Mus musculus: one gene and its partners. The protein of the gene in region 6 interacts with the protein of the main gene of each other region in a biochemical or structural test. Links are inferred from orthologs where the notes say so. Each region holds a gene or a part of one and is shown on either strand. Other genes may lie near its edges. The genes, in order: Nfkbib, Map3k14, Nfkb1, Bcl10, Map3k1, Chuk and Cops5.

Region 1 (4,167 bases), on a different chromosome or scaffold from region 6:
TGTTGCTGCCGGGCAGTGGTGGCGCACGCCTTTAATCCCAGCACTTGGGAGGCAGAGGCAGGCGGATTTCTGAGTTCGAGGCCAGCCTGGTCTACAAAGTGAGTTCCAGGACAGCCAGGGCCATACAGAAAAACCCTGTCTCAAAAAAACAAAAAACACTTGTTGCTCTTGCAGAAGACCCCGGTTTGATTTTCAGCACCTACATTGTGGCTCATAGCCATCCCTAACTCCAGTTCCAGGGGATCCAACATTTATACACATAAAGTAAAATTATTTGGGAAGCAGGGGCAGACATATCTCTGAGTTCAACGTCAGTCTGCTCTACATAGAGAATTCCAGGACAGCCAAGGCTACACAGAGAAACCCAATCTCAAAAAACCAAAAATAAATAAAATAAACCAAAGAAAAATTTCATAATGTGTAGACAGAATCTCTTATAGGCAACACCTGTCAATAAAAAAGCAAACGGCCAATGAGCTGAAGCAGGAAATAGGAGGTGGGACACTGGCAGGAAAAGAAAGGATTCTGGGAAATAGTGAGAGAATAAAAGGAGACACAGGGAGAGACACTGGAGGAGTCACTGAGAGAGACACCGAGAAAGACGATGCTAAGGAAGAAGCAGGCCCGAGACTGAAGGAAAACATAGAATGATTTAAATGGGTTAAATAAGTTATGTGTTAGCTATGGAATGGGCCAAAGCTTGTAGCCAAGGCATTTATTAATAAATAGTTAATGCCAGAGTCCTTATTGTTGGGAATTAAGTGGCCGGAAGAAAAAAAAAAAAGGATTCATTTTTTTTTACAGTAGTGTTCAAGGCTAGCCTGGGCTACATAGTGAGACACTGACTTAAAAGGGGGGTGGGGTTGGAGGCTGGGAAATGTTTTGCTAAGTAAAGCACAGTGACCTTAGTTTAGAACCCACATAAGAAAAAGCTGGGTGTGATTGTAAGTATTTATAGTCCCAACACTAGGGAGGAGAACCCTGGAATGGAGCACAGTGGTGCGCGCCTTTGATCCCAGCACTCCGGAGGCAGAGGCAGGTGGATGAGTTTGAGGCCAGCTTGGTTTACATAGTGAGTTCCAGGCCAGCCACCCTGTCTCAAAGAGGAAGAGGAGGGTAGAGAGCAAGAGATGACCGCTGAGGCTCTCAGGCCAGCTAGTCTAGCCTACGTGCTCAGTGCAGCCCAAGGTTGCCCTCTAGTCCACACACACACACACACACACACACTCCCCAGGCGGGATGTAGTGATACCCACTTGGGAGCTGAAAGCAGGAGAATGAAATGTTCAAAGCTATCCTCAGCTACAAAGTAACCTCAAGGCTAGCCTGGGCTACATGAGACCGTCAAACACAAACAATCGAGAAAGGAAGGGGGAGGATAAAGAAAGCACAAAAACCAGACCCAAAGTAACCAGAGGGAAATAATAAAGGAACAGGAACCAACAAAGTAGAAAGTGAAAACTAAGGCAACTACTCCTGGCTCTTTAAGATGAGTGTTTGTTGGGTTCCCCTCATGGGTCAGGCACTGAGTCACTGGGCATACGCAATAAGCACAAAGGACAAGAAAATCCCGGGTACAATCCCTTAATGCACGCCGTCACCACAACCATCCCTTCTCCCCAGCTTATCTACTAATCAACATTTCCTACTCTTTAACCTTTTTTCAGTCACCCTCTCCTCCTTTTCCTCTTCCCTCCTTTTTGATACTGGGTCCTTCCAGGCTGTCCTCGGACTAGTGATCCTCCTGCCTCAGCCCCTCGAGTGCCAGAATGACAAGTGTGTACCATCACACTCAGCTAAACTAAAACCAGGGATTGGAAGGTGGTAGTTTGGGAGAAGCATTTGGCTAACAGATGAATCTAGCCTCATAGAATAGAGTTTCTACATCTTATGTAGCTCTGGCTGGCAGGGAACTCAATCAGGTGGCCTCAAATTCACAGAGATCCACCTGCCTTTGCCTTCCAAGTGCTGTGAGAGCCATGACACCCACCAGCTCAATTTCTTAACTGCAGGGTCAATACTGGACGTGTCAGCTTCAGAGACTCAGGGCCAAGAACTAGTTTTGAAATCAAAATCTGGCTTATACAAGAATAGCCAAAGACCAAAGACTACATCTGGAAGTAAGAGGTAAGAAGATGTGGGAACTAGAGTGGTCGGAAAGGTTCAGATCCGATTTGGGGATCAGGAGCTCAAATTTATAGAGTTCAAAAAAGGTGAGACACTTGACTGTGTGAAAGCGTACCAGTCTCACAATTTAGTGTTTGGGGGTTAAGGGCCAGGAAGTCCAGCATCGGAAATCAAGAGTTAGGAACGAGACGATACGAAGTCACAGGAATCGTAGGCTAAAGGGGACTCAGGTAAGATCCCAGGGCTCAGTCTAGTAATTTAAGGTTTACTCACGTGTCCCCATCCTCAGTGACGTAGCCAAAGACTAAGGGCGCCCACGACAGCTCTGGGCCAAGCTCTGCGCCCAGACCTGGTCCTCCGGGAGCCGCTGCGTCGGGACCTAGAGAGCCCAGGCCGCTGTCGCACCATTCATCGGCATCCGCAGTTTTCCCCAAGCACGCGACCCCGGCCATGGCCCCAGCCACCTCGGGTGGCCCCCTGTGGTCGCCTGCCTGTCGCTGGGCTCTGCGATGAGCTCCAGTGCTTCCGCCCTATCGGGAATTCCCCAACACGCCCCCTCATATACCCAATCAAAATGTTTTAAATAGCTACACCCCGCCCCTGTACTGCACCACAGCCAATCAGAAAAATGAGGTGGACATTCGCTCGCTGAGTTTCCCCACATTTTCCAGACGCCCTTTATCAATATGGCCGCCGGCGCCAGGCTTTTTGGGATTTGTAGTTTGATAACATGAGAGGCACATTGTACGAAAGCGGTTATGGGGATCGCATTGCCTGCCGGGAGTTGTAGTTCTCTATCCTATCTCGGCCTCTTCTTGTTTCCGCTGCCGTCACGGGACAGAGCAGTCGGTGACAGTCCCGAGGGCCCCCACCCCGTTCCCATGGCCGAGCCGGACCGTGAGTTAGGGGCCCTGTTGGGAGGGTGGGAGGGTCGGGCCGCGCCGGGGCCTGGCTTTGGGCTGCAGGCCCCGGGGCCCGAGGGTAGGCTCGGTGGGGCGGGAGACAGGATCTACCTGAAGGGAGTGGGATTCGGAGGGGTGTTGCTAAGTGGTCCGTATTACTAGGTTGGTTGGTTTCTGGATTGTGAAATGTAAGGGTCCGATTGTCAAGTTCTTAATGATCGCATTTCTCGTACTTTGGCTGCTGAGGACCCTCGTTGCTAAGGACCAAAGTTACCACTATCCCGGTTGCTAAGGTTGTCTGTTGTTAAGGGCAACTGTAGGATGGGTTCCGGGGACCCCTGTGGCCCCTTACTATCTCATTCCTTCAGTTCTTGTGCCTCTCCTAAACCTCCTACCTTCACTGCATCTCCTCTCCCACACTCAACTCTCAGCAGAAGTATCCCTACTTACGTCTCTTGAAAAACTTAGCCCTCCCTCATTCTCTCGACTCGCACATGCTACCATATCCTGCTTAACTCTGAAACCTTCCTTCAGTCCAGTCTCGCCTGCTTTCTCCTCCTAAAGATTCCCCTCCTCAGCCTTTTCACGTCACACATACCTCCACTCTAAAATATGCCTTTTCCCATCTCCGATAGTTTTACTACCATCCCTGACTCTGAAATAATTAGGTTGGTGGGTCCTCTTGTCCTCCACCATTGTGAGCCCTTCTGCTTAACTCTTTCCCCGCACTGTAACCACGTCTGCTCCCCTCCTCCCCAGCCTCTGACCCTCTGGAGACCCAGGCAGGGAAGGTGCAGGAGGCTCAGGTGAGATGGGGAAGGGGTGGAGGGAAGGAGAGACTTGGTTCCACGTGCCGCACTGGGGGGAGGTGGCAAGGGAAGGCTTTTACCCAAGGGCCCTTGGCTTATGGCCCTGATCCCCAAGCCCATCTGGGGATTAGTACAATCTCCTGGGAGAATGGTGGCTTCTTGGGACTGTCAAGGAAAATGTATAGCCTCAACCCCTGGTTCCCTTCCATATCGTCCTCGTTTCCTACTGTTGCCCATCCCATCCTCAGCCCCTTCTGAACCTCATTTGTGCTGGACCTGAAAGAGACGGTTTTCCAGTTCAATCCGCAAACTCAGATCCTATGAGGTGGG
Region 2 (3,500 bases), on a different chromosome or scaffold from region 6:
AAGCCGGCTCTGTCACTGCAGTCACGCATGCTTAATGACAGGGGACGCGTGCGGGGAAGCGCGGTGTCAGGTGAGTCTGCCTGTGCATCACAGAGTATACTAGCGCAAACTCGGACAGCTGTATACCAAGAGCTGCTGTGAGCCTATGGGACTGCTACTGTGTATGTGGCCCACTGTTGACCAAAACACTGGTCTGTTGTACCTCTGTACTTAGTGTGGGCTAGTTCCTACCCACACCCCCCCACCAGGAATACCAAATTTTTTCATTTATGAAAGTATTTATACCACACTGAGGTGGTGATGAGGTCGAAACGGGAGCAGTTCATAAGCCTTAGCACCTGGCTGCTCAGCAGGTTGCCCTATAAAGTGCTTGCACAGCCTGGGGTGGACCCTCAGTCCTTCTCCAGGTGCCAGCCCTCTTGGGGCAGGCATCTTAGCTCTGACAGGGCAGAGTTTCTGTTATCTCTCCCCTTAGCCCTTAGACGTATCTAATTGCCATGGGAACATGAGACGCTGACAAATAGACTCCCTTTCTGGCTGGTGTAGCTACCAAGGATCTGCCAGGCTCCCACCCATGTTAGTTATTATGGGAACTTGTTTCAGGCAAGGGTCTGAAGGAGGTGCTGTGAAAACAGCCATCGGCTCTGACCACGGCCACAGCCACAGCCCTTCCTGGGATGCTGGGAGCCTCCAGACTTCTCTCCAGCAGCCAAAAGAAGAGTTCATCCTCAGGGTCAAGAGATGCCTGAAACTACACAAGGAATTGCCTAGACCGTAAGGAGGACAGAAGCTCCCACCCTGACCCCTAGGGGTGTCTTCCCTAAAGGATGGTGAAAGTAGCCCCTCTGGACTGTGCTCATGGCTATATACAAGTTCAGAGTCACTACTGTTCCCAGAACCCTCCCTGCTGAGGGGAAAGCAGAGGTGTCTCAAGGACTCAGGGTAGAGTAAAAATAAAATGTCAAGTTTGACGGAGCCAGGGGCAGCTTCTGAAACGCTGACTTGGCTGCGAGTGGCTGGGCCAGGAAAGCTGGGTGGCTGCCAGGAGCAGAGCCCAGGTGCTGAAGCAGGGGGCCAGAGGCCTGGTGGGCGTGGCCTGGGCTCCCTTCTTCCCAGCTCCAGTTGGCTTCCTTACCTGTACTGCTGTGACCCCGCGATGAAAATGCGCTCTGAGAAGGTGGGGCTGAACTCTTGGCTATTCTCACCTGTGATCCAGGGAAAAGGGTCAGATTAGCAGGGATAGGAACAAAGACAAAGCATTTAGGAGAGAGCGTTTTACAGACAGGGCCCCAGTGGCCACTTCCTTTCCCTGTCATATTCCTCTGTCTGGTGGCTCACCTCCCCGCCACAATCTTCTCTCACTGTTGGGGCTACCCTGTGCCCCAGCTTACCAGTGACGCCTCCTAGAACACCCACATGCCACAGGGCACACAGTTGCCCCCTTGATAAACAAGCTGGCACGTATTTCTGTTTACACGCATGTCACTGTATGTGCACTCAGCTCATTTGAGCTCATTTTCAGTGTTCTTTCCTGGTTAGGAAAAGCCTCGGGAAGTGAGGCAGAGGTTGCATATACATGGAGAGAGATGCCAGGTTCTCTGGGTTCTAGCCCAAGACACCTGGACTGGAAGATGGTACTGATAGAGGGAAGGGGGCTCTGGTGCTACTGAGCCCCCCCCCCCCCGCCCCAAGGAGTTCTTGTTTCCCAGGCAGCCATCAATATCTACCATCTGGAGGCAATAGGAGTAGAAGTGGAGAAAGCCAGGCTTGGCCTCCTGCTGAGGCTAGCAGCTCAGAGACTGGCACAGCAGGCATAAGAACAGGGTAAGGGTCTGTAGGCCAGAGGAGCTTTCTAGGAGACTTGGCCTTTCCTGTCTGAGCCTCTCTGCAGGCTACCGTTCAATGCTCAGTGGAAGGTTAAGGGCCAGCTTGATGATCTTGTAGAGTCCTTAAGCAATCCTGACTCTTGGCTGCTCCCTGTTTGGGTCACAGTGGCACAGCCTCTATTTGCTCTGGCCTCCATGATCCACCCTAGCATATTTACAGCTCCTAAGTGGGTGGCTAGACCCTCAATTGTGTCTGGGAGATGCTTCTAGAACAGTCACTCTGACCTTGCTCTCCATGGGGACTCCCAGGCTGGCCTCTTGTGCCCAGCCACCCATCTGTGAGCCCACTCATTTGCCACTGTATCCATAGCAACCCCAGGTCCTTACATTCAGCCTGGGCGATGATGGAGATGGCCGGTGGTCCTCCCTCAGAGCCGTCCTTGGCTGTGCCTTTGGTGATCACGTCGTTTAGGATCTCCCACTTCCCACAGAACACGGGGCTCTTCTCCACGGCCTCAAGCTTGAAGATGCAGCTCTGCTTCTTCCCCAGTGACTGTGTCTTCTCCTTGGCTTTGGCAAGCTCCTTCTGCTGCCCGACTGCTGACCCAGGAGTGCCCGGGCAGGCCACTTCCATCACGGCCATCTCCCAGGCTCGTGCTCACCTTGACGGGCCAAACACAGACTTGGTCAAGTCCCAGGCCCTATGTAGTCAGCATAGATTAAGCATGCTTGGAGGGGAAATGAGTGCTTGCCTGCGTGTGTGTGTGTGTGTGTGTGTGTGTGTGTGTGTGGTGTGTGTGTGGTGCATGTGTGTGTGTGTGTGGTGCATGTGTGTGGTGCATGTGTGTGTGTGTGTGTGTGTGTGTGTGTGTGTGTATGGGGGTCACGTGAGAGGTTCTTGGCTCTTTCTGTCTAGTGTTCTCATCCTCTAGACACCCTGAGTGGTAGGGAAGCCAACCTTGAAACATTTATCACAAACATTCCATTTGTGGGAACCTTGCTCTACTGGCACTGTAGTATAAATGGATGCCTCTGGGGGCTGGAGAGGTGGCTCAGTGATGAAAAGCACTGCTACTTTTCCAGAGGACCCAGGTTCAATTCCCAGAACCCACATGGTGGCTCACAACTGTCTGTAACTCCAGTTCCAGGGGACCCTTACACATATATACACGAAGGCAAGACACCAGTGCACATAAAATAAGTCATTTTTTAAAAGAAAGGATTCCTCTGCTGGGCTTTCAGAGAGACAGGAGTTATTTTCTTCAGAGTGTAGCCACTGGTAAATTGCCCGTGCTCCAGTAAATAACCTCACATCCATACTCATGCAAATGACCCTAGTTAAACTCAATGTAATACACGCACACACGTGTGCACACACACTGCCAGGCAAGTAGGAAGGGTGTGGGGAGGGGAATGAGAGGGAGATAAGAGGAGACAGATGGCTCAGCAGTTAGGGCACTGGCTGCTTATGCAGAGGACATGGATTTGGTTCCTTGTATCCACGCAGCCATCTATAACTCCAGTTCCAGAGATCCAATGCCCTCTTCTGCCCTCCATGGGTACTGCACACATGTGCTGCACATCATATATAAAGGAAAACCGTTTTAAACAACTTTAAATAATTTAAATTACACATTTTAAATAATTTTAAATTATTATTATATGTTTTTTGGC
Region 3 (3,500 bases), on a different chromosome or scaffold from region 6:
ACAGCAAGTTCTGGGCCAGCCTCAAACACAGGAAGACCCTCTCTCAAACAAAACAAAGCAAAACAACTCCACAAAGCCAAACAAAGAAACCCAAAAGTTATGAGAATCACAAACGCTGCCTGTCTATGTCCTTGAGGCTAAGAAGCTGGTATGGCAGGGAATGTTTGTGCCCATTAACTGAGTGAAGCCAAGGTGGGAAAAACTGGGGAGAAAGGTCTGAGGGCTCCAAATCAGAGCAGCTTTGCCTTGAGCTCAGGGGAGAGGTTCCATCCACAAAGAGCTGGGTCGCACACAATAGAGCCTGCTTCCGCAGATCCTATCACCAACAGCCAGCAGGGCTTCCTGAATCCAACCTCCAGCAGCCGAGGGAAGCAGGTTTTGCAAAGAGGATTGGGAAGTAGCAACTTCCTCTTCTTCAGTTTATTCTTATACTTGTGATGGTTAAAAATGCAATCTGCCACTTGTCTGCTATGAGGTAGCCTGGGTGCAGGGGTGATGCCTTCCTCCACCTCGCCTCTCACTACCTGTGCAGGCAGTCAGGAGAGCTGGCCTGGGGTCATGCAAGGGGGTGAGCTAGCCCTGTCCTTCACAGGCTTTCGAGAGCAGGCCTTGCATCTAGCCTGTGCTGCAGAGTAGAGAGGACCCTCGTGGAGGGAGCACAGTGAGCAGCCCTGAGGGTGTGAGAGCAGGAGAACTGGCCCTGCCCCTCACTCACAGGCTGTAGTGTATGGGAGAGTGGGTCCTGCCCTTTGGGCAGCACAGTGGAGCCAGCTCTGGAGGCATAGGGAGATCCGACAGCTCCCTATTTCCAGATGTGACTGTTGCATGTATACAGGAAGAGTGCTCTTCCAGTGTTGGCTACAGACAGCTGCTCTGGGAAGACATGTATTCTTTAGTGTGCTCACATGCACTCCACACGGTTTTATACATACATTTCCTATCCCACATCAGCCTTTCCCTTTAAGTTTCGATTTAAAATACTTTCTCAATTCATAATTTTTGCAAAATTCAACTGAGAGGACCTGTATATTTCCTGAGATTGAACCAGACGCTTACCTCCTAAGTTCCCCCAGCAGTTACATCCTACTTAACACAATAATACAATTAGGAATTGCAACAGATTCTAATCAGATCTCAATATTTGTATGTACTCATATGCATGGATAGCTCTGTAAGATTTTTTTTTTCCTAAGCTGAACATGGTGGTATTGTGTTTTAGTTCCTGTTATTCAGGTAGCTAAGGCAGGAAGAGTCCTTGAATATAGATGTTCCAATGTAGCCTGGGCAGAAAGCAAGACTGTTTCTAAGCAGAGTGAATGAATGAATGAATGAATGGTCAATCCATGTGCTTGTGGATGTGTATGTAGCATTGTACTGTGTCCCTGTCTTGGGTCTTCACGCTGTTTATCCTTTAGTTTCATAGACAGCTGGTTTGTTCTCATTGCTCCTGAAGAGAATGCTGTCATGTCCCCTAACTAGCTGCTCACTGTCCACAGGCTGTGCACTGCAGTGAGCACCTGCACTGTACCCATGGGTGCCACAAGTGGGTTTCAAGGGCAGTGTGAGCCCTGAGCTCCACAGATGGATTCTAGGGATTCCTTGAGGCACGCATTTTATGCGTGTGTAAAATGTAACCCTTGGGTGTTGGTGGCCCACCAGCCACTGCTTCCCAGCAGGAAGAACTCCCTGAATGGGAGGTCGGGCAAGTCCTCACTACACAGCCTGGGCTTCAGTGTAAAGCGCCTACAACACAGACTGGCTGGCATTGAGAGTTGGTGCTACTCTCTACCAGTGATCTCAGCTTTTTGACAGACACTTTTGTGATTGGGTTAGCCCCACTTGTTTCTGAAAACAGTTTTCCATGCGTCCTACTTACAACCATGGAAGCACAGCTTTGAGGTCAGGGTAGTCAGAAAGACCTCCCAGAGCCTATTATGCACAGTGCCTGGGATTGTTTTCTGCCTGAACTTTCTTAGGGAGAGTGCTGTATTGGCTAACTATGCCCTGAGGATCTGGTAGCACCTGTGATAGTATTACAGTGGAGCTTGTATCTGTGCGTCTCTTGAAGCCAGCCTGCAGCAGTGTGTTCTGGTTTAGCCTATGTACTTCCAGACCATTGTGGAAGGATGACATCTTTCTTGATTGCTTTCTTTTAATAGTCTATTTATGTTTTGTTGTTAAAAACACAGCATTGGTTCGATTTGCAAATGTATAGAATTACCAGCTATAGATAGATACCTATCAGAAATTCAGAGAAATTAAATTTTCTTCTACAAGAGTTAAAAAAAATCATGTAGCAAACGTATCCCATAACCCCGACTGTTGAATGCTGGTTCTCTCCGTGGGCCTTTGAGCCTGGCATGCAGAACAGGAAGCTCCTTGAGTGACAAATGTCCCTACAGTATGACTCCATAACGTAGCCTGAAGCCAGGGGCTACAGACATCCCTAAGCAATGGCTCTCCCTCTCCTTCTCTGTGTAGACACCTCTGCACTTGGCCGTGATCACCAAGCAGGAAGATGTAGTAGAGGATTTGCTGAGGGTTGGGGCTGACCTGAGCCTTCTGGACCGCTGGGGCAACTCTGTCCTGCACCTAGCTGCCAAAGAAGGACACGACAGAATCCTCAGCATCCTGCTCAAGAGCAGAAAAGCAGCGCCCCTTATCGACCACCCCAATGGGGAAGGTAAGAGCAGTCGCCTTGCTGGCTAACCGTCCCCTCTCGGCTGCAGCATAAGGGCTTGGCATTTGACAAATGCATCTGACATGACTTTCACCATGAATACTCTCCTCAGCCAGCTGGAGTTTGTCATATCTTGTGGTTATTTCTGCTGTTTATTACAGCAAACGCCCTTAAAGAGTATTTGTGAGTATTGCTTAGTAAGTGGAAAAGCAAGCCCGAGCAAACATTAGTCTTTATAAAGCATCGTGTGTGTGTGTGTGTGTGTGTGTGTGTGTGTGTGTGTGTGTGGAGAACGTTTACATAGTAGCTCAGTGTCTCCCGAGAACACAGTGGGAGCTTGTGGCTTCTGAAAGTAGAACAGTGGACCGTCTGAGGCTTTGAAGCACGCCCTGAACAGAAACCGGAAGTGCTGCGACCTGGTGGTGTCCCTCCTCCCCGCAGCCCAGCTCTGTCAGTCTCACCCACATCTCTGCCTTTGTTCGGCCTTAGGTCTAAATGCCATCCACATAGCTGTGATGAGCAATAGCCTGCCATGTCTGCTGCTGCTGGTGGCTGCCGGGGCAGAAGTCAATGCTCAGGAGCAGAAGTCTGGGCGCACAGCGCTGCACCTGGCCGTGGAGTACGACAACATCTCCTTGGCTGGCTGCCTGCTTCTGGAGGTAAAGGCGTACTTGTGATCTTGACCTAAATCCCCCTGGAAGTTTTAGGGAAGTCTTTTCAAAGAATGACTCTAGGGCCAGCTCGCTGTCAGTATTCCACTGTCTGCTTTCTGCATCCCCAGCTCCAGCCCAGCTCTCAACCTGGGGATGCCAGTGACAGA
Region 4 (3,500 bases), on a different chromosome or scaffold from region 6:
TGACAAGGACCTAAGTCAGGACCTTTGTAAGTTCAGAATATTGAAGGATGGCAGATGGTAACAAAATGAAATTAGGGATGTGGGCTAAGCAAACTCTTGAAGGTCTTAACACTTTTTTCTCTTAGGAGTCATACTAACGAATTAATAGGGTTTTGTCTGACTTTTAAAGATCTGCCTGCCTTTTCTGTAGACCAGGAAGATGAGGAAAAGTGGGAAAGGGCATGGAAGGACTTGGATACACTGAAAGGCAGTGATGATATGGATCAAAGTGAAGGCCGTAGACATGGATGGAACACAAGCTCGGGGTGCATGCTAAGAACGTGGACAGGATGGGAGTTGAAGGAAGAGTAAGAATGAAGATCAGAAGAGATTTCTGCACTAGAAATACAAGCATTCTGTTGAAAAGATGAGAACCAGCTCCAAGCTCTCGAGCTGCAGCCCTCATCATCTGAGAACGGGATGGGAAGCACAGAGAGAAGTTTCATAGAGATCAGAAACAATCAGGACAGTGCCCTGTATGCTCAGCAAGGAGAACGTGTCTGGAGGAAGGAGTGATCAGCTGTGACCCTGCTCTCAGAAGCCAAATATGATGAAGGTGGGAAGGACCCGTCAGTAGAGGAGGTCCTCGGTGACTTGGGGGAGAGCGTGGGACACAGTGGAAACGCCTGGGGATGAAGTGGGGAATGTGATGAACAATGGAAGAGGCTGGGGCTGCGAGACAGGCGTGGCCAGCTCATCCTGGATGTTAAAGTACGGCTTCCCAGCGATGACCAGCAACCTCAAGCTTCAAAGATGAAGGGAGCTCAGGGTATGAGAAGGAAAACTCAGGCACATAGCAGCATGAAACAGTGCTAGTCCTCGATTGTAAGTGGAGCAGAAGTCCTGCCATAGGGTACTGCTGAATCAAGCTGGAGAGGTGGCCTGCTGTGGGCTTGCCTGCCATGAGCTTGCCTGCTGTGGCCCAGTAGTCACTAGTCATTGGGCCTCCACTGTAGAAGGAACTGGGCTGAGCCTTCATGCACACTATCCCAATTAGTCTTCCTAGATGGGTTTAATTCTTTATCCTTATTTTGCCAAGATCCTGAAGGCCCAGTGGTACCAGTTTGTACCAGTTCTCACAGAATGTTACAGATTCAGGGTTAGCAGAAGTTTGACTCATTGCACAGCCATGCTGTTCTTAAGGACTTTTTAGATTTTTTTTTTTTAAATATTGGTATTTTGACTGCATGAGTGTATATATACCATGTGTGTTCCTGGTGTCTACAAAGGTCAGAAGATGGTGTCAGGTCCTCTGGAACTAGAGTTGTGGAGTATTGTGAGCCATCATGTGGGTACTTGGAAGCAAACTCATATAGTCTGCAAGAACAAGTGCTCATACCCACTGAGCTATCTCTCTAGCCCAGTGCTCTCAACTACTGTGCTGTGTTCAGGACTATCCAATAAATCATGAGCAGACACTGTGTTGGTATAATTTATGTAATGGTTCAGATTTCTATTTTCTCTTGAAAATTGTAAAATCTAATAGATGCATGAAAGATTTGAGAAAGAGGAGGGGATTACAAAATGCTATTTTTCTGTTAGCAGTCCATGCAGGCTTTACGGACCATGCATGCCCAGAGTGGTGCTGAAGTCACGGTGACTGGTCTTCTGATAACTTACATGGTCTTCCGATGACAGCCCGTGTGTGCTGTCTATTGCCCGGCTAAACCAGGAGCCCTCTGTATGCAGTATTAAAACCTTGTTCATCTTTTCATATTCACACTAGAAATTTATACATACGAAGTTTACTGTATAAATAAATAAATGTGTGTGGAAATCCAGTAGACAAAAACCTGTCAGACGCTGAGCGGTACTTGGAAGGTACTGAGCGTACGCCTTTAATCCCAGCACTCCGGAGGCAGAGGCAGGTGGATTTCTGAGTTCGAGGCCAGCCTGGTCTACAGCCTGAGTTCCAGGACAGCCAGGGCTACACAGAGAAACCCTGTCTCAAAAAAACAAAAAAACCTGTCAGACGCCTTCACAGGGACAGCTTTGCAGGCATTGTTACTAAGGTGGCTCTACTGAAGCTCCCACCGCCTTTACCTCATCGCTATGAATGTGAGTCTGGTTAACCACCATCATTGCCCTAACGGGATCAGTCACGGCGCACCGTGCCGTTTCTAAACACTCTGCGCATGTTAATAATCCCTCTCAACTATCACATGAAGATGCAAACACAGTTAATTTGCCTCAAATCCCATGTCTAGTAAATACAGGCACGAATATGCAATGACTGGCATCAGATTGTCACCACTTATTGAGACAAACGTGGACCTGATTTAAACAGCACACAGTGCATGCCTGAGAATTAATTACATGGTACTTCACTAATATGTACACTTTTTTATGTTTCAATTAAAACTAATGAAGTTAAATACTTAAGACTAGCCTGAGCTAAGCTTTCCTTTTCTTAGTTTTTTTTTTGTTTTGTTTTGTTTTGTTTTGTTTTTTTTAGAACTCTTTGGTTCTCTCTGTTCCTCTCTGTACTTCCCTTTCTTCTCCCTTCCTTCCCCGAGGACTGACTCAGCAATGACCTACCTACCTCCCTCCCTCCCTCCCTCCCTCCCTCCCTCCCTCCCTCCAGGACTGTCTCAGTGAGTTGTATCATTTTTCTAACTAGCCTCAAAGCAAAGACATATGGCCCTTGGGAGGATTTGGGCTTTGTGTGTGTTCTAATGGTTTCGCATTGAGGTGATGTACTAATTAATAATACACATGAAACAGCCGCAGATTGTGAGACTCCACACTAAGTTGTCCTGGTCCTAATTCTGAAATTCTCTACTTGATAGTTACTACAATTTACAGACATGTGTTTTTAATCTTTACTCCTGACCTAGGTGACCCTCTGCAGGTCCCTCCTCACAGCAGCTGGGTGTTAGTTTTCAGGGGTGAAGGTGAAGCAGAACAGGGCGCTCTGAGGACTGTGGGACTGGCTTCTGCTGCTGGGCATCATCTTTCTCAGCATGCACTTAAAGGACCCAGGCCTCCCTCCCTCCCTGAGAATGTTGTCTCATACCAGTTAAGATGTGTAATTACTAACCAGTCACCTGCGATTTTCCTCCGTGTTACAGAGTAACATTGAAGCTTTCTTCTTTTTTCTCTTAGGCTTTAGAGAATTTACGTGTTTACCTGTGTGAGAAAATCATAGCTGAGAGACATTTTGATCATCTACGTGCAAAAAAAATACTAAGTAGAGAAGACACAGAAGAAATTTCTTGCCGAACTTCAAGTAGAAAACGGGCTGGGAAGTTGTTAGACTACTTACAGGAGAACCCCAGGGGCCTGGACACCCTGGTGGAATCCATCCGCAGGGAGAAAACACAGAGCTTCCTGATTCAGAAGATAACGGATGAGGTGCTAAAGCTTCGGAATATAAAACTGGAGCACCTCAAAGGTGAGCAGCGGGAGAGAGCAGACAGCGAGGAGAGTGGTGGGTGGGGGAGCAGACAGTGAGGAGAGCA
Region 5 (4,191 bases), on a different chromosome or scaffold from region 6:
TGTACCTTTTAATGTAACCATTGAGAACTGTAGCGTGCCAGATGTTATAGCAGTAAGTATAACACCGAGCTCAAGCTGAAGTCAGGATCCCTTTTTAAAAATCCCTTTTGCCTCACCTTGCTCTCTGGCTGACATTACACACCTAAGGAGGGCTTCATTTGATCTACTTTGGAGAGGTTAAATGAATTATTTTGAGCTAGTTCAGGCTTTTGTCTAAATGCTGGAGAGATCTTTCCTTTCTCTGTAAGATGAAAACCCTTCTTACCCCTCCCCCCACGCCTCATGTCTTAATGTTTCACAAAATAAATCTAGAAATCCTGGGTTCTGAGAGATTGTCTATTCTAGACAAAGTGGCTAGGGGAAAAAAAAGTGGCAGAGGCGGGTGAGATAGGGACGACAAGGCAGCTTTATCCCGTTGAAAAAGGGTCGAAGGGGGGAAATCCCATATACGTATACTGCTTTTCTATCTCCAGCACATTTTCTAGACTCTGGGGCAGGAGAAAGGCGAGGGACGCCGCACAGGGCAACCAGGGAGCGGCGGCGGGAGGGAGGTGGGGGACCCGGGAACCGGCCTGTCACCTGACTGCCAGGAAGAGGGACGTGCAGCTGGGAGCATCTGTTGGGGGTGGGGAGAGACCTGGTAGAAGATGGCATGATCCAGCGCTTCCTGGCATAGCGCTGGCTCCTTCCCCAGACGTGCTCTCCCGCTTTCGGTTGGAGCCTGCCTTTCCAAGACGGGGGAGTAACCTCTGGCAGAGTACCCGGGTTGGTCCCTCTGCGTAGCCGGGGGAGTGGGGGGGAGGGTGTCCCAAACCAGCAGCTTCAGAGGTGCACAAGGTAGCGCAAGAAATCTTAAGTAGTGTTATTTGTGACACGAGGGCGGGACAAGAGGTCTGCTTTCCTAAGAGAAGGCTTCGCGTCCGCCCGTCTGCGGCAGGCGACAGTCCCGGGGCGCCACCTGCGCTTCGGGCGCGGGCCGGGCCGGTGCGCGCGGGGGCCCCCCCAGCAACCGCTACTAAACGCGTGAAGTGACAGACCGTGAGTCCTCCGGCTTGCGTCCCCTTCCAGAACCAGGGACTCACGCTCGGATTACTGCTTGCTCAAGGGTGGGCGAGCTCCCGCCGAGCCGCTGCCCCGCCCGGTCTCGCACTACCTGGCGGCGGCCTGGTTGCAGCGCACAACGCCCGGCGCCCGGTTCCCCGCATTGCCCCTGCCCTCCCACCTGCGCCGCGCGCCCGCCCGCCGCTCCGCGCTCCCGGGCCCCGGCCGGGAGGCGCGGCCCCGCTCGCGCCCGCGCCCGCGCCCTCGGCAGCAGCGCGCGCCCGCCCACCCGCCCGCCGCTCCGCCCGCCCCCCGCGCTCTCCCCGCCCCCTCCCTCCCCCGCAGGCACGAGCGAATGTAGCCCGCGAGAGAAAATGGCGGCGGCGGCGGGCGATCGCGCCTCGTCGTCGGGATTCCCGGGCGCCGCGGCGGCGAGTCCCGAGGCGGGCGGCGGCGGCGGAGGAGGAGGAGCTCTCCAGGGAAGCGGCGCGCCCGCAGCGGGCGCGGCGGGGCTGCTGCGGGAGCCTGGCAGCGCGGGCCGCGAGCGCGCGGACTGGCGGCGGCGGCAGCTGCGCAAAGTGCGGAGTGTGGAGCTGGACCAGCTGCCGGAGCAGCCGCTCTTCCTCGCCGCCGCCTCGCCGCCCTGCCCATCTACTTCCCCGTCGCCGGAGCCCGCGGACGCGGCTGCAGGAGCGAGTCGCTTCCAGCCCGCGGCGGGACCGCCACCCCCGGGAGCGGCGAGTCGCTGCGGCTCCCACTCTGCCGAGCTGGCGGCCGCGCGGGACAGCGGCGCCCGGAGCCCCGCGGGGGCCGAGCCGCCCTCTGCAGCGGCCCCCTCCGGGTGAGCGGCGGGCCGGGGCCGGGCGGGCAATGAATGAAGCGAGCGGGGCGCGCTGCTCCCGGGGCTCCGCTCGTTGGGGGTGGGGGGGGAGCCCGCGTCCCCGAGCCCTGAAGGTCGGGCGGCGCCCGGGACGGCGTGGGGACGGGACGGGAACGTGCGGGAGAGTTTGTTATTGTTTGCGGACATGTGACAGGCGTGGAAGCCGCGAAGGTGCGGGGCTCCCCGGGCCGGGTCCTGAGAGCCCCCGCGGCGCGAAGTGAGTTTGGGGGGCTCGGAGCGCGAAGGTGACGGCGGTGGGTCTGCGCGCTGTGACAGCCTAGAGCCCCTCGGCCCCACGGGGACGCGCGCCCGCGGGCAGGTACCGGGCCGGGCTCCGGCGGCGCGCCCCGGGCGGCCGGGGGATTCCGGGGACTGCGGGGGGGGGGGGCGCCTGTCAAAGCGACGCAGGCGGACGCTGCGGGCTCGCGGGGCGGCCGGGTCTGCGGGGACTCCGTGGCTGCCCTCGCTGCGTGTCCTTGGGAATTCCTCCCGCACCTCGGGGGCTAGAGCGCCCGGTGCTGGGAGTTTGAATCCGGCTTTGAAGTTAGCTTTTGGCGGAATGCTGTGGGATCCAGGACCGGATGTGTCAGCCATTCAGCTTCAAAGCTGTGGGGACTGCGCCCCGCAGCCCCGCTGCGTGGCGGGGACAGGGACGGTGCGGGGCTGCCGCTTTGCTCGCAGGGGTCTTCCGGTGCACCAGAAGTAGGATGTGCGTAAGATAGTTTACACCAACGGCTCTTTGGCCTCGCCCTGTTTTGGCTACTGGAAAGTTTTCTGTTAGAGGAAATTCTTTTAAGTATATGATACTTAAAAAAAAAATCTGATGAAAATACACAAAAGCATAAAATCTTGATGGATGTGTGAAGTTGCTGGATATGTTTTCGTCATCGTCACCCTGTGGCCCCCCGTAGAATTTCTTGACGTTTACTGTGGGTGGAGAGTGTTTTATTGTGTGTCGAATCTGACAGTAGGAATCCTTGGTTTCGGTTAGTTATCTAAGTAATTTGACCCCCTTTTGTGCTCTGGATTGTTTAAAATCACGGTCCGTTTATTACTTGGAGGTCGTTTTCCCTCCTCCCAACCCCCAAGCCCAGTAGTAAAAAGTGTGTTGACCCCTGGCTGTGGCAGGATTGGGAGGAAGGTAGGCAGTAAGCAGCCCCGATGCAGCTTTTCTGTGTGTGTGCCCTGTGTGCACTTGTACACGTATCTTCCTCTAGGGTTTCCTGTTTCTGTGCAGATTAGATTAAAACTAACCAGAATAATTCTTAGGTGGCAACTCTTACTACAGATCAACTACAGATGAAAGAAAAAACAGTAACTCAAACTTTGAGGAATTAATTTTATCTAGTCCTGTGAGACCTGATTTTTTTTTCTATATGATAATACAGTTGGCCACACTTAAGCATTTATAAAGTCAATATAACCACCTATGAATATACCATGAGCAGCAACTGCAAAAATGACATATAGAACTTTAGTGTTGCCTCTAGAAATCAGAGGACCAAGGTGAGGGCAGGTAGAATTGAATACCTGAGTAATCTGCTTGATTTTTGCGCATTCTTCTCTCTCTCTCTTTATCTCTTTAAGCAGTGGCTTATAATTGTAAAAGCTGTCTTTAAAATAAATACTGCTAGCTAGAATTCTGTTGGTGCACCTCAAATGTTATATGTGATAGTTTCATTTGCTGTAAAATATCGATTGTCAATCCTTTTGAAATAATACTAACACCCCCCCCCCCCACACACACACACACCCCGCCTCCAGTTTTTGTAACTGGTTTGAAATTCATTTCAAATCTGCGGGTCTAAAACTTATATCATGAAGAAGGGGTTATCCAGAAATGTTGTTGTGTTTTGGGTTTCCTGTTGTGATGTTTTATTATTTTCTCATTTAAAATCTCGGGGAAATGATTATACGGCATGTAGAATCTCAGTTGAACAATGTGGTTCCCTTTTCAAGTAGCGCACGTTCATGCTTTGAAGAGGAAGATCTAATGCTGATATTTTCGGTTTGTTTTCAGTAGTAGTAGAGAGCCAAAGACCCCTCTGCATGTCTAAAGACCTAACGTATTTTTCTTTTGTTTTTTTTTTTTGTTTGTTTGTTTTTTGTTTTTTTTAATCCAGTTTCTAAACGTTGGATGTAGAAATTGAATGTTTAGAAAATACACATTTATAAAAAGATAAGCTATGGGAAATTCATTAAAGTCAAAGATTGCATGTATGTCTGCCCTCTCTCCTTCAGTAAAATAACTCAAGCCAGTGAAAGTTTGT
Region 6 (3,500 bases):
TCATGCTAATCCATCTGTTTACAGCTCAGAAAAAAAGCTGACATAAACCAAATGTGAAGTACTAATAAAAAGGATCAGTAGACACCTCAAGTTCAGCTTTGAGTTTCAAAAGAGATTTGAGAAGGTTGTAGGACTGGAGCTCAGAGGAAGATCAGTGCCTGCCAGGCATACACAGGCTCTGGATCCCCAGTACTGCAAGAGGCGGTGGGGGAGAGAAAAGAAAGAAGAAGAAAAAAAATCTGTCCTTTCTTAATTATTCCAGAAACCTCCTCCGCAGCTCAGCTTCATTCCCAGAATATTTCTCTCTCTACTCTCTCTCTCTCTCTCTCTCTCTCTACACACACACACACACACACACACACACACACACACACTCTCTCTCTCTCTGAACAGACATAAGGTTCAGAACACCCACATGGCCACCTGTAACTCCAGGTCCAGTTATCCAACACTCTCTTCTGGCCTCCGTGGGCACTGTACACATATGGTGCACTGATACACATACAGGTCAAACCATCCACACACAGAAAATAAAAATATAATGTCAACAAAACAAAACACCCAGTGTACGCATGCTGTTTTTTAAAAAATAATATAAATATTATATAAAGTTGCTATATGTCTATAATTTTCAAATCTAAAACTTGAAAATTTTATATAAGTAATATAAAACTTTTAAAATAAAAAGTATATTCCAAGCTGGACAGTAGTGGTGCATGCCTTTAATCCCAGCACTTGGGAGGCAGAGGCAGGAGGATTTCTGAGTTTGAGGCCAGCTTGGTCTACAGAGTGAGTTCCAGGACAGCCAGAGCTACACAGAGAAACCCTGTCTCGAAAAATAAAAAATAAAAAATAAAAAAATATATTCCAGAGCACAGATATCCCTTATTACTTATGTAATCCTTCAAAATAAATACATTTAATTAAAATAAAGGTATATCACCTTATTGTTTTCAAAGCATTTTCATAAACATGTTCTCAAAAAATACACTGCCAAAGTGTAATGAGTTAGAAGGCTAGGTTCTTACTTGTTTTGCACAACAGGGGACTAGAAATATGGAGATGTACTGGAGATTAGTCAGTAAAATACCCAATTTAGAATTCAAGGCTTCTGCTTTCCAACCTACATTCCTCCTAACAACCGTGCTCTGTATTTGGCAGTGTGCAGTATGAATTGTTCCCTAAGGACATGAGCAGTGACCAGTGCTGGTGAAGGCAAGGCTTTTCAGGACAAACTGCTTCTGGATAGACTATGGCTTCTCTTCCCATCCCACCCAGAACCCACTATGTTGAATTCTTTCCAAGCTCTCTAGGTTATTTTTCCCCAACCGTTACACCCTTTTATTGCTGTGTGTGTGTGTGTGTGTGTGTGTGTGTGTGTGTGTTGGGGGTGAGGAGGGTGGGGGTGCTGGTGCTATTTCTTCCCTTTTGTTGGGGAGAGAGTATGCAGAGGCTCAAGGTCACCGTCACGATCATCCTTGACAGATCTCACCTCACTTGTTGATAGGGTATCTCTCTGAATCTTAAGCTTGCTGTTTCAGCTAGACTGGCTGGCCACTGAGTGCCAGGAACCCATCTGTCCTTGCTCTCCCAGTACTGCTGGGACCACAGGGGTGTGCTGCCATGCATGTGTTTATGTGAGTGCTGGGAATCTAGACTTGGGTTTATCAGAGCAAGCACTTTACTCATTGATCCAACGCTAAATTCCCTTTTTTTTCTTTTTCTTTTTTTCTTCTCTACTTTCTTTTCACTTCACTTTTAAAACTTTTCTACTTCAATATCCTTATTACTTTCCTCTTCTAATCTTTTAAGTTTTTATAAATTTAAAGCTATTATGCCACAAATGTTGCAAAAAGAATACCAAAACAGGATCATACTATGAAGTTAAAAAACATTAAAATTTACCCACTTTGTTCAGTTAGGGTGTTTCCTAAACCACCTTTCAATACTGTGACTGAAGTGTCTTACCAGGAGGTCTGTGCTTTAGCTGCTTATAGAGATCAATGGCACGCTGCTCCCTACAAAAAAGAAAAACAAACACCTTTCTGTATGTGCAAGTAACTTAATGATTAATAATACACAACTTGAATAAAAAATCATGGCTTGTGATCAGAGAGAAAAATCTGAAGTTTCTAGTTAGATGTTTAGGAAATTAGCCTCAACAGAGGAGTTAGGAGATTATCCCTTAGACCAAAAGGGAAGAAAATGGGGAATCATTTGTAATTTAAATATACATTAAACACACACGCAGAGGAGATAACAATCCAGAGAGTTATTTCCCAAACTCCCTATGACTAAGAAAGAGCTTCCTTTTAAGATATTCTAAGGGCTGGAGACACGGCTCAGAAGGTAAAGGTGCTTGAACCTGAGTTCAATTCCTGGGCCCACCATGGTAGGAGGGGAGAACTATCACCCCACCTTCTGTCCTTTGATCTCTACATGTACAATGTGATGTGTTCCATGTCACCTCTTCCCAACAAAATAATTGAATGTTTTTAAGAAAATCATATCATAGGAATATATTAGAGGTAAGAAAAACCCAGATATACGTAGGAAGGACAAACAAAGTATTCTAAAATCAAGACCAATAGCACAGACACATTCTTACAGAGACTCCATCAAGTCTCCCTGGCGTCGTCCATAGGGGCTCTTCTGCAGCTCCATGATTTCAGTGTGCAAAGACATAATTTGATCCTCAAGATAACCAATGACACCAACCTAAAATATGACACAAACCAAGACAATGACAGGCTCACTACCACATAGAACAAGGTAGAACATAAGCTGTTGTAGCAGTAGAACTGAATATTTTACTACAACAAGGTAATTGTGTTAAAGCTAATTGTCTGTTTATTTAATGAGACAGCTGTATTATATAGGCTAGACTAGTCTTGAACCTGTAATTCTCCTGTCTTGCTTTCCTGAGTGCTGGGATTACAGTGTAAAGCACACTAGACTGGTTAAAGCTATTTAAATAATAATCAACTAAAAATTTGAGAAATTTATAGGTATATATAATGTATTTTGATATTTACTCCCACTATTCCCCCTAACTCCTCACAGATCTACCCCTCTAGCCCCTCCCAACTTCATGTCTTTTTTTTTTTTAAATAATCCACAGGGTCCAATATGCGATGATCATATATACACTAAAGAATGTGAGGCCATGCAGTGGTAGTGCACACCTTTAATCCCAGCACTCGGGAGGCAGAGGCAGGCGGATTTCTGAGTTTGAGGCCAGCCTGGTCTACAGAGTGAGTTCTAGGACAGCCAGGGCTACACAGAGAAACCCTGTCTTGAAAAACCGAAAAAAAAAAAAAAAAAGAATGTGAGGCCACACAACAGGACATAGTCAAACTACTAGGGACCACATCCTTAAAGAAAACTGACTCTCCTTCCCATAACTGCTAATTGCTCCTCAGCCATGGTGGGGGTTTATCACGCTTTTGACAGTCTTTCATATAAAAATGCCTTATGCTAGGTGCAACGGTGACACCCTT
Region 7 (4,279 bases), on a different chromosome or scaffold from region 6:
AGGCTAAATCCCAGCCATCCAAGCCCAGGACGGTCTCCAGTCACGAAGTGTGGATGTGAGAGAAGGAATGTCCGCACCAGCAGTCTGGTCAACTCTCTGTCCTGGGCTTTCATTACCATTTCAACATGTTATTCTGTATGTTTCGAGTGGCTGTGTATTGTGACCACTGGAACAAGCTTACACAAGCTTCTCAGAAAGAACTTAAGATACTAATGTACTCTAATGTCCCTAGTGTGCCCGAAGTTATACTTTAAGAAGATTCTATTTTTATTTTTGGTTTCGTTATTTTGTCTCCAATAGTCCAGGGAGAAAGCGGGGTTGGAACTCTTGATTCTCCATTCTCCACCTCCCAAGTACTGGAATTAGAAGAATGTTGCAATGTCCTTGCTCTGTTTTGTTTGCCCAGCTCCTTGACTTTTTGAAACAGGGTCTCCTGCAGCCCAGGCAAAAGCACCTGCATTAGAAGAGGATACAGACGGGCAGTAGTGGTGCACGCCTTGAATCCCAGCACTCAAGCAGGCAGCTCTCGAGTTTGAGGCCAGCCTGGACTACATAGTTCCAGAACTGCAAAAACCCCGGGGTCCAGGTGAAGCAGCTACAGAGCCTTCGAATTCCTGTGAAGGAGCAGTTACTGACGAAGAGTTAAGGAAAGGCATCTCCGAGCTGTGCTTTTTAAAATCTGTGTGCTCTAAAGCAGAAATGTCAAGAAGTGCATTTCAAGCAATGCCTAACAACTAATATATTACTAAGCCAAGGAAAAAAGTTCTAATAGAATGAAAAACTGGGTTGGGGGAGCTAAAAGAAGATGATGAAGCTGGAGAAGTCTTTAAGAACCGTGTTACGAAAAAAATTAAATATATTAGAATTAAATAAAACACAAATTTCATGCATGCCTTCAACTTACAGTCTAGTGGGCAATTGGGGATGAGAATGTGAGGGAAGAAAACCTAAAAATACGACTGAAACAAATTTCACATTAACTGCTGGAAGGCACAGGTTGCGGAGATTAAATCTGCACTGAGACAAACCTTTTTTAAAAAGTAGCGCCTAAGGCATTCACCGCTCCTAACACTTGTATAAAATGTTACCCTATAAAGTCCCTAAAAAAGTTAATCTTAGCAACCGGTAACTTTTGCTTGCCACCTCGCAACAGTAGCGAAAACACAAAAGCGGAACGCCAACCACAAACCCCGGAGGCTTAACACACCGCAAATTATCTTAAAAGAGTCACGCGATCTTCCCCCTCCAAAACCAATAATCCGGAGATACTTACACCTCTGTTTCTCTAGAGATATTTAGTATTCCAAACAATTTATTTCGTTTGAAGCACCTACACTCACATAAACATAATTCCCCAAACTCAAGTTTCCTCCTACACACAATATGGTGGCATCTGAGTCTGCGCAGTACGAGCCGAGCCGGCCGACTCCTTCCTGGCAGGCCAATAGTCCCGCCTTCCGGCGCGAAAGGCTGTACCATTCCCACACCGAGGCTTTGCGTCCCTCGCAGTTCACACGAACGGATTTCCGAGCCAGCATGTTCTCGTTTCACCGGCAAGACTGATCTTAGCCGAGCCGAGCCGAGCCAACCCTAAGGAAGTGTTTTCTATGTCGCTGCGCCGCCGCCGCGCCCCAGCGCGCGAATGGTCTGGACCAACGTCACCTCCGGTCTCAAGTGTCATGGCTGCCTTGAGAGTCTAGTGAGTGTGCACCCTGGTGGGGAAGGTCCAAAGCCCGCACGCTGAGGCCCAGTAGAAGAAAGTTGCATCTTGATTGTGGAGCGACAGCTTCTCCGGTGCCTCGGCCATGGCAGCTTCCGGGAGTGGTATGGCCCAGAAAACCTGGGAATTGGCCAACAACATGCAGGAAGCGCAGAGTATCGATGAAATCTACAAATATGACAAAAAACAACAACAAGAAATCCTGGCGGCGAAACCCTGGACTAAGGAGTGAGGAGGTCCCTGGCGAGACGCAGGGGAGGGCAGGGATGGCGGGACTGTGAGAGACCCGCGAGGGGTGGGAGATGAAGGGTGTGGTGAGCTTGGCTTTCTGTGGGGCGTCGACCGAATATTGGCCACAGTGGCCTTAGTCTGCCTTGTCAGTAGAGCCTTACCTGTCCTCTAGGGCCTGCTTCGATTCCCCTTTTAGAAAGTTTCTTGCCTTCAGGGCGTGTAAAGGGCTGACTTGGGGTGCGACTTTTGTCAACATGATTATTTTTGTAAATCTCACACACTCTGCCTTGAACCTGGTGGCTACATGCAGTTAGTTGCAGCCTTCAGTAGATTCCCAAACTGAAGAGCGTGGCTGTTTTTATAAATCGAATGAGCAGAGCATTGATTTAAAAAAAAAAAAAAAATCCATGAGCTCTTGGATTGATTGGTTTGGTTTTTTTTCAGCTCTTTAGACACATACCAAATCCTCTTAGCAGTTCCCTACAATACTACTACAATTCATGTAAACCAGGAATTATAAGAGAGAGCTTAGAAGCATTTTCCCCAGCCAAATCCATGTATCTTTGGGATTGACGACAAGTCAAATGATTCTTTAGAGCAAATTGTATTAAGGAGAGTGAAGAAAAAAATTACAAAAGGTTGCTGAGTAGACTGTCTTGCTGTCTCCAGGTGTTTTGTTCTGATGGCACAGCTGGCTTTAACCGTCAGTACTCTGTTTTCAGTGTTTATTGAGTTCTTACTGTGGGCCTGGCACTGGCCTGAAGATTTTCGTGTCTTTTAATAATCTTGACAATCCAGGATTCTTTCCCTTTCTGTAAATAGAAAAATAAGCAAATACATTCAGAAACACACCTCATGGTCATACTATAGCAATGAGCTTAGGTTCAATAGACTGAAAATCAGGTCTCAATAACTGTCATTTAGACTGTTGACTGGCATTAGGAAACTAAAGTATCTAAACTTATCTATAAGATAAAGGTTAAACGTAGCTATTAATGATGTCATGAAGATGAGATAAGGTAATTTATTAAGAAGTTCTGGATGAGCCATATGTAATGAGAGCATAGTAATGGTTGTTTTTATCTTTTTCCCAAGTAGATGGAAAAGCCAGTTTTTTAATTTATATCTTGATTTCCAAGATGGTCTCAGTAACTTTGAGCTTGTGGTTGAAATCTAACAAAAGCTATATTTGGTTGCATGCATCCAGTGGGCCATGGCAACGCTGAGTGCCCCACACAGATTACTTAGCTGTTTCTAAAGCAAGCTGCGTGATTTAGGTGGATGTAAACTCAAGACTTCTTCACCATCTATGGCTATCCTAACATGTAGGGTATGTCAGGGATTTTAAACTGTTGTTCAAGAGTTTAATCACATACAATGGTTAGTCAAAGAAGTAAAGATACTAGATCACTCTCAAGATGCTATCAGAAGGAAGCCACAAGCTAACACACTTTTTTTGAGAATATCTTAAAACAGGTTAATAAGGCTGATAACAGTACCTTAGGTTTTAGTGTCTGTGGGACTAAGCACTTACTGTGTACTTTTCATACTAATAGGTGACATACCTATTTATAGATATGTGACATAGACATTAAGTGGCCCTACTCTCTCAGGTAGGGAGTGTCAGTGTAAGATTTTAGACCTAAGCAGGGCAATTTCAGAGGCAAACATTGTAGAAATTAAATCCTCTGGCTCTGTAGGTAATAATACTTGCTATCAAGCATGCAGACCTGAGTTCAAATCCCCAGCATCTATTGTAAAAATCCATGTGTGGATATGTGTGTGTGTAACCTTTTAGCATTGTATTGAAGGATGGCAGAGAAAAGGAAGTCTGTAAGCTGGTCAGTCAGCCAAAACAGTGAGCTTTCAGTAAGAGGCTCTCTCTGTCTCAAGGGGATGAAGTAATAAAATAGAGGAAAATGAGCTGGGCATGGTGACACCCACATTTAATCTCAGCAGAGGTGGGTGATCAAGTTCCAAGGTCAGCCTGGACTACTGGACAGCCAGGTTATACAGAAAAACGCAGTCTTAAAACAAAACAAAACAAAAGGTAGAGAAAGACCCCTGACAGTCCCTGTCATCTCCACATGCCATCTGGTGGCACACTAATAAACATGTACCACAGATAATAAATAAATAAATTACTTAATTAATAACTCAGTAAATTAAGGTCAGAAAGCTAGGCCTAAGAAGGTAATCAAGTATAATAATTCCATGATGATTGAGAAAAAAGGCCTGTGGACTTGATCATTACTCCCTCACCTCAGCAGTATATTAAAGTTTATCCCAGACTCTTTATTTTACCCAAGGGGCTGAGCTGTGACTGTG

What was found.
Region 1: of the proteins of Chuk (region 6) and Nfkbib, one has a biochemical effect on the other in vitro, tested with the Homo sapiens proteins (2 studies listed by BioGRID). The link is inferred for Mus musculus from reciprocal best matches to the Homo sapiens genes CHUK and NFKBIB.
Region 2: of the proteins of Chuk (region 6) and Map3k14, one has a biochemical effect on the other in vitro, tested with the Homo sapiens proteins (5 studies listed by BioGRID and IntAct, with this or other methods). The link is inferred for Mus musculus from reciprocal best matches to the Homo sapiens genes CHUK and MAP3K14.
Region 3: of the proteins of Chuk (region 6) and Nfkb1, one has a biochemical effect on the other in vitro, tested with the Homo sapiens proteins (3 studies listed by BioGRID and IntAct). The link is inferred for Mus musculus from reciprocal best matches to the Homo sapiens genes CHUK and NFKB1.
Region 4: the proteins of Chuk (region 6) and Bcl10 form a complex in vitro, tested with the Homo sapiens proteins (2 studies listed by BioGRID, with this or other methods). The link is inferred for Mus musculus from reciprocal best matches to the Homo sapiens genes CHUK and BCL10.
Region 5: of the proteins of Chuk (region 6) and Map3k1, one has a biochemical effect on the other in vitro, tested with the Homo sapiens proteins (3 studies listed by BioGRID). The link is inferred for Mus musculus from reciprocal best matches to the Homo sapiens genes CHUK and MAP3K1.
Region 7: of the proteins of Chuk (region 6) and Cops5, one has a biochemical effect on the other in vitro, tested with the Homo sapiens proteins (2 studies listed by BioGRID). The link is inferred for Mus musculus from reciprocal best matches to the Homo sapiens genes CHUK and COPS5.

The regions. Positions count from the first base shown.
Region 1 is NC_000073.6:28,763,845-28,768,011, forward strand, and holds the start of Nfkbib (NF-kappa-B inhibitor beta), read right to left. Parts: upstream 2,801-4,167; 5' UTR 2,579-2,800; coding exon 2,400-2,578; intron 1-2,399. Other genes in the region: Sirt2 (NAD-dependent protein deacetylase sirtuin-2), read left to right, coding at 3,008-3,023, 3,788-3,834. UniProt on the Homo sapiens protein: Inhibits NF-kappa-B by complexing with and trapping it in the cytoplasm.
Region 2 is NC_000077.6:103,239,902-103,243,401, forward strand, and holds part of Map3k14 (mitogen-activated protein kinase kinase kinase 14), read right to left. Parts: intron 2,489-3,500; 5' UTR 2,470-2,488; coding exon 2,214-2,469; intron 1,206-2,213; coding exon 1,136-1,205; intron 1-1,135.
Region 3 is NC_000069.6:135,594,048-135,597,547, reverse strand, and holds part of Nfkb1 (nuclear factor NF-kappa-B p105 subunit), read left to right. Parts: intron 1-2,481; coding exon 2,482-2,683; intron 2,684-3,169; coding exon 3,170-3,339; intron 3,340-3,500.
Region 4 is NC_000069.6:145,927,262-145,930,761, forward strand, and holds part of Bcl10 (B-cell lymphoma/leukemia 10), read left to right. Parts: intron 1-3,144; coding exon 3,145-3,433; intron 3,434-3,500. UniProt on the Homo sapiens protein: Plays a key role in both adaptive and innate immune signaling by bridging CARD domain-containing proteins to immune activation.
Region 5 is NC_000079.6:111,806,194-111,810,384, reverse strand, and holds the start of Map3k1 (mitogen-activated protein kinase kinase kinase 1), read left to right. Parts: upstream 1-1,391; 5' UTR 1,392-1,415; coding exon 1,416-1,882; intron 1,883-2,319; exon of another isoform or gene 2,320-4,191. UniProt on the Homo sapiens protein: Component of a protein kinase signal transduction cascade. Activates the ERK and JNK kinase pathways by phosphorylation of MAP2K1 and MAP2K4. May phosphorylate the MAPK8/JNK1 kinase.
Region 6 is NC_000085.6:44,079,978-44,083,477, forward strand, and holds part of Chuk (inhibitor of nuclear factor kappa-B kinase subunit alpha), read right to left. Parts: intron 2,719-3,500; coding exon 2,609-2,718; intron 2,019-2,608; coding exon 1,969-2,018; intron 1-1,968.
Region 7 is NC_000067.6:10,035,339-10,039,617, reverse strand, and holds the start of Cops5 (COP9 signalosome complex subunit 5), read left to right. Parts: upstream 1-1,479; 5' UTR 1,480-1,607; coding exon of another isoform or gene 1,608-1,699; 5' UTR 1,700-1,805; coding exon 1,806-1,948; exon of another isoform or gene 1,949-1,956; intron 1,957-4,279. Other genes in the region: Cspp1 (centrosome and spindle pole associated protein 1), read right to left, coding at 1,274-1,479. UniProt on the Homo sapiens protein: Probable protease subunit of the COP9 signalosome complex (CSN), a complex involved in various cellular and developmental processes.